2 linked regions of the Callithrix jacchus genome follow. The protein of the gene in region 2 purifies or fractionates together with the protein of the main gene of each other region. This does not show direct contact. Links are inferred from orthologs where the notes say so. Each region holds a gene or a part of one and is shown on either strand. Other genes may lie near its edges.

The links.
Region 1: the proteins of TGFBRAP1 (region 2) and VPS33A purify together in Homo sapiens (co-immunoprecipitation; 5 studies listed by BioGRID and IntAct, with this or other methods). This does not show direct contact. The link is inferred for Callithrix jacchus from reciprocal best matches to the Homo sapiens genes TGFBRAP1 and VPS33A.

Annotation. Positions count from the first base shown.
Region 1 is NC_133510.1:125,441,826-125,444,498, reverse strand, and holds the end of VPS33A (vacuolar protein sorting-associated protein 33A), read left to right. Parts: intron 1-446; coding exon 447-615; intron 616-996; coding exon 997-1,178; 3' UTR 1,179-1,854; downstream 1,855-2,673.
Region 2 is NC_133515.1:15,348,940-15,352,763, reverse strand, and holds part of TGFBRAP1 (transforming growth factor-beta receptor-associated protein 1), read left to right. Parts: intron 1-1,463; coding exon 1,464-1,610; intron 1,611-2,137; coding exon 2,138-2,297; intron 2,298-3,824. UniProt on the Homo sapiens protein: Plays a role in the TGF-beta/activin signaling pathway. It associates with inactive heteromeric TGF-beta and activin receptor complexes, mainly through the type II receptor, and is released upon activation of signaling.

The sequences.
Region 1 (2,673 bases), on a different chromosome or scaffold from region 2:
ATCTCTAGTAAAAATACAAAAAATTAGCCAGTAGTGGTGGTGCACACCTGTGATCCCAGCTACTTGGGAGACTGAGGCAGGAGAATTGCTTAAACTTGGGAGGCCAAGGTTGCAGTGAGCTGAGACTGCACCACTGCACTCCAGCCTGGGTGACAGAGCCAGACTCTGTCTCAAAAAAAAAAAAAAGGTTTCATGTCAGACCACAGAACAGTTTTTCATCTGTACCTAGAGCTGCTTTGAGTGGCTTTTCAAGATTTAGTCAAAAGTGAAGTTCTGGCTGCTAAAATTGAGCCCCGCTAGGGTGGATTAGAACAGGGCATGGCAGGGGTGGCAGCTGTATCTCTGTCTTTAAATTCAAATCAAATAATTTTGGATTACCCAAAAGGCCACAGTCAGGTAGCTCTAAGACTCTGTATCAACAGACTTTTGTTCTTTAAATCTCACAGAACCCCACGGACATATCCTATGTGTACAGTGGCTATGCCCCGCTCAGCGTGCGGCTGGCTCAGCTGCTTTCCCGGCCTGGCTGGCGGAGCATCGAGGAGGTCCTCCGCATCCTCCCAGGGCCCCACTTTGAGGAGAGGCAGCCACTGCCCACGGGACTGCAGAAGAAACGTAAGTCCCAGTCCAGCATCTGCAGATAATTATGTTCTGTCAATGTGGTTTTCAGGTATTGTACAGTTGGCTTTGTAAAATACTTGGTAAAGCACATAGGAGTCAGAATTAAAGATCCCTCTTTTGTTTGTTGCTATTGTATATAGTAAGCACTAGAATCAGATTATTCCCTGAGGGTTCACAGCTTTCAACCTCTGCATTGAGAATCTCAGGAGTTACAAAAAACATTGAGATTAAAATCAGTGTCCCTGGGTTTCAGATGAACTGTCTGGATGAAGACTTGTTTATTATGAATGATAAAATGTTTGAAGGGGTGGGCAGAGAAGCACCACTAATAAAATAAAAACCACTAGTTTTTAATTCTGAAATTTTACATTGTAGGTCAACCGGGAGAAAACCGAGTCACTCTGGTATTTTTCCTTGGGGGCGTAACCTTTGCGGAAATTGCTGCCCTGCGATTTCTTTCCCAGTTGGAAGATGGAGGTACAGAATATGTCATTGCCACCACTAAATTAATTAATGGAACCAGTTGGATAGAGGCGCTGATGGAAAAACCTTTCTAGGGTGTTCAGAAGAGACCTAACAAGTGAACTGCAGAGTAAACTGCCTCGTTGAAGAAGTTGCTGAAAGGAAGTAAAACCCCATAGAAGAAACATGGGATTACAGAATATAACCTGGGGTCAGCTTCTTAAATTATACTGTTTACTCCTTTCTCCTTCTCGTTTATATTCCTTTATTTTTGTGGTAGGGAGATGGAGTTTTGCTATGTCACCCAGGCTGGAGTGCAATGGCGTGATCTCAGCTCACTGCAACCTCCACCTCCTGGGTTCAAGCGATTCTCCTGCCTCAGCCTCCTGAGTAGCTGGTACTATAGGCATTCGATACCATGCCTGACTAATTTTTGTAGTTTTAGTAGAGATCGTGTTTCACCATGTTGGCTAGGCTGGTCTTGAACTCCTGACCTCAGGTGATCCACCTGCCTCGGCCTCCCACAGTACTGGGATCACAGGCATGAACCACCATGCCTAGTCTCTAATCTTCTGAAGAAGAATAGAAGAGAATCAGCCTGTATAAAAGAAGCACTGGTTTTGAGGTTTCTAAGCTCAGGGTCTTCATTAGAGACCTGTGGAAATACGTTAGGGATGGTGGGGGTAGATAATCCATTCAGCCACACAAATGGGGCCAGCTCTTAAAGCTGAGACTGAGGAGGTAAAACTGAAAATAAAAAGAGGAAGTCCATCCCCTAATCTCCAGCGCTGTATTTCTTCAAGGCGCATCAGGCCTAGGACAGTGGTTAAGTGTTGGGAGCTGGAGATCATTTTATCACTGAGTTGAGATTTCTTCTTCCTGCGAGTATGGGAGAGTATGTTTAGGGTCACCAGTCGCTGATCACTAAGGCAACTTTGCTTCCTTCTTACAAAGCAAGAGGTTTGGGGGAGCTTCTTGGCCAGCAACAAAGTTTATGCTCTATGGGATCAGCTACATCTCTGTAGGTTCCATACTTATCAGGGACTTTCAACATGAAAAAAATGTGATAATTGGGGAGCAGCCTTTTGAGAATTCAGCTTTTGAAAGAATTCAGAGACACTTTCTGGTTTTTTGTTTTTGTCTTGAGACAGAGTCTCGCTCTGTCACCCAGGCTGGAGTGCAGTGGCGTGATCTTAGCTCACTGCAACCTCCACCTCCCAGGTTCAAGCGATTCTCCTGCACAGCCTCCGGAGTAGTTGGGATTACAGGTGTGCACCACCATGCCCAGCTAATTTTTATATTTTTAGTAGAGACGGGGTTTCACCATGTTGGTCAGGCTAATCTTGAACTGCTGACCTCAAGTGATCCACCCACCTCAGCCTTCCAAAATGCTCAGATTACAGGCATGAGCCTCCATGCCCAGCTTCAAAGACACTTTCTTAGCACACACGTTATTAACTCCAGACACAGCAGTGGTGGATGCCTCCATTGTGCTTTTCATTTTCTCTTCTGTCCATCATGGACCCACCATCCAGCTGATCCCACAGTGAGCAGGGGCAGCTCTTGCCTCTTCAGCCTCTGGCCACTTCA
Region 2 (3,824 bases):
TGCCGGGCAGCCTGTTGCCCTCATCCCTGCTCCCACCGCTGCCAACATGGAGGTTGTGGGCCTGGAGGAGGGAGAGGAGCCATGAGCAAGACTTGGCCTGTCTTGGAGACTGAGAAATGCTGGCAGTGAAAAAGCGCCTGTTGGCTAGAGCGGAGGTAGCAGGCTTAGGACAGTATCCTTAGTAATGCCCTACGGGTTACTGGGAGGAACACAGCAAGCATTTCAGTTCTCACTATGAAAAACATGCTTCCAAGGCTCCCCTCAGAGAGACAAAATGAGCTTTCTGATGCAGGTCCTTGGTCCTGAATGAAGAGTTTCTGAGTGCTGCATCTGCCTTTCTAAAACTTGAGTTGGAATATACTCTCATATCCTCTGTGGTGCTGCCTTCCCTGGAAAATCAGAACCAGGCACTGGCGCTTTGTGTACTTGGGACTCCATCTTTACTTTGCCACTGTGCATTTGCCTGCAGAACACATCTTGGCCCACTCACACACACCTACAACGTGGATCTCAGTGCCGTTGCAAAGTTTAGGCCTCTCCCAGTGCTCACAGATGATAGCAGCAGAACATACATGGAATTCAGTATGCCACATGGTAGATAGTCACCTGACAAAGGTCATTGCTTAAACATCACAGCAACCCCTCAGTGGGCCTTACCTACAGGTGAGGAAACTGAGGCTGTAGTTTGTAAAACTGGGACACAAATCCAGGCTTGCAGAATCCAAAATCTGTACCATAATACATGATATATGAATGTATTGGGCTTATAGGGGGCGTGTGTGTGCGTGCACAGGATAGAACCTGAACACGTAAGGGCTTGGAGGAGGTGTGGTGGAGAGCTGCTTTCCTACCTGCCTCACTGTCCTTCCCTTGAACCAGAGGATTGGACCAGTGCCTCCACTTGATAGACACAGGAAGGCAGCCTGGAAACTTGCTCAGGGACTGGAGGCTCAGAGCTCAGATGAACCATCTATCCAAATTAACCCAGAGTAGATAATCCATGTTCAGAGAAGTGAGTTTACTGTACAGAAATGTCAGCGCTTTCGATACCTTTTCACATCCTGTTCAGCTACTGCCATCCTTGTTCTTGGATTATCTGAATATTATAAAATTGTTACTCCATGGGTTGTCAAAATCTGTCAGCAAAAAATGCCTTGTTCTTCAGTTTCCAATTTGCACAGGGTCTTCGAGGAGGGCTTCAGGGTTTAGGTTGCCTTTTTAATCTTGATTTGTTGCCCTCTGGCCTTTGACACTGCTTCATGCTGGGCTGTTTTTCTCTATAAATATATTTTTTACACCGCTGTATTGAAATATGATTGACATACAAAAAGCTGTACATATTGAATACATCATTATATTTTAAGCGATGATTTTATCCAAAGCTTTAATGTGCAGTGACCAAAATAGATGAAGAAAAAGTGGGTTTGAAAAGTACAGTCGCTGTATTGCCGCCCCTCTTTCAGGTCGGAGTTCAAGTTTTCACCAAGAGACCTTTGGATGAACAGCAGAAGAACAGTTTTAACCCAGACGACGTTATCAATTGCCTTAAAAAATACCCTAAAGCCCTTGTGAAGTATCTGGAACATCTCGTGATAGACAAGAGACTGCAGGTGAGCACTGCAGAACTGAGACTCAAGAGGGTGGGCTGGAAACGCAGAATTAAACTACAACACTTTTTGGCATGTAGGTCTGTGTAATGTCTATTCCCTGGGTGCTCCATCCTACTTGTTGATGGTCTGATGGGGGCCTTGAGGCTTGCGGAAAGAGACATGGAGCAATAGGTAGCTTTATTTTTTCTCCTTCCATCTCACGTCCACTCAGCTTTTATTTTTCTCCTCTTTTCCTTCTTTGTTATAATCCTTAAAGGAAATAAAAGGAGCTATACCTTTTTGTAGGTTACCTCAATTCTGTGGCCCTTACTTCTCGAAATAAGAGGTGATTTTTTGTTATATTCCCCATAGATGGTCAACTCATGTCTGTATTGTGGTTTCTGAGAAGGTTTTGATCCAGTGAGTGAGCATCCGCCCGGCTCATGTCAGCGCAGCTCCCGTCTCCAAGCCTTGGCTGACCGGGGAGAGCTTTGGCCTTCCCACTTGAAAACACTGTCTGTTTGCTTGGCTCCCCCTGTTTCCTGCAGAAAGAAGAGTATCACACCCACTTAGCTGTGCTCTACCTGGAAGACGTGCTGCAGCAGAGGGCCTCCGCCAGCAGCAAGGGTGCGGAGACCACTGAGACGCAGGCCAAGCTGCGGCGTCTTCTCCAGAAGTCCGATTTATACCGAGTCCACTTTCTTATCGGTGAGAATGATCTCAGTACTGTCTTCCTTTAGAAAAACTCTTATCAAGTGGGTGGGAGGAAGCAGAGAGACGGGCTTTGGCACAACTCCTGGTTGATTCCATGGGGTGATTCCTTGAGCCTCTTTTTTAAAAATGACAGGATGTCGCTTTGTCGCCCAGGCTGGTTTCAAACTTGTGGCCTCAAATGATCTTCTTGCTTCTGCCTCCCAAAATGCTGGGATTACAGATGTGAACTACCACACTTGGCCCTTGAGCCTCTTTTGACAGAGTCAGCCTCCCTGGAGGGAGAAGTGAGGCTTCTTGTGCCTCTAGATGGACACTGCCTTTTGATTGATGATGTTGGCACTTCCCTGGTAGCTTTTGGTGTGTGTGTCTTGACCATACCTTTGTCTGAGCATCTTTATCAATGTCAGAGCACTGAGTCATAGTTCCGTCTGATGACTCCAGTCTCTGATCAAGGCTTTGCAGTAGGCACTGCCCCCAGCAGGCCACTCCTGGGCTGCTCAAGGCTCAGGGCCCTCGAGCTCTAAGCGAGAAGGCATTGCGGGTGTCTTGGAGGGGATTTGCGTTTCCATTCCTCAGGGGTACAGAGACCACCGTTTCTGTATCGTGTAAAGTTCCATGTGCAGCACAGTGCTTGCAACTGTTAGAATTAACTAGTTTCTTGCCACATTAGACATAGAATTTCTGGATTTATACTCACTGGGGTTAGTGACGTGTTTTTCTTTAATGGCCTTTAATACCATTTTTTGACCAATAACAAAGCATGTCTAACACATGCGTTGTCTCCAGAGAGCTTAGGAGTGCCAGGCAGCACTTCAGAACTACGCTGAAATCACCAACTAAAGGCACCAACATGCAAAAAGGCATGGCACTAAAGAGCCCCTGAAAAGGAAATGAAGCAAGGAGGGAGGGCGCTGCTCCTTTGGCCCCAGCTCTGTGTCAGGCTCGGTGCTTGTCACAGATGACCTTGAAATTCCTGCAAGTGTTGATTGGGAGGTTATAAATAAATGTCAGTGAGTAGATGACTCTGTAAATACAGAATCCACAAATAATGAGGATTGACTGGATATGCCAGGCACAGGTCGAATCACCGAGGCTGCCTTATGACATACAGTTTCCACAACAACCCCGTGAAGCGAGTCCGGTCATTCCTCCATTTTTACAGAAGAGTGCACTGAAGCTCAGAGACGTTACCCCACTTGCCACAGGTCACACAGCCCAATGCGTGGTAGAGCCACAACAGGGGTGTGGGATGGCATTTCATGAGACCAGCAAACACTAGTTCTGGCTTGCACCTGCACCTACATTAGGACTTTCTGTGGTGATCTGCCATGTGAATTCTGTTGACTCACAGCTGCCATCCCTGACTGATCATTGCCAGGGTATACCAGCTATTGAATATTCTTACTCACTCCTGACTTATCCTTTTTGCTTTACAAATCTCCTTATAAAACTCTCAGGCCAGCCACAAGTGTGTGGATCAATGTTTGCATTCCGCCAGCGTTTTTGAGCATGTAGAGTGTG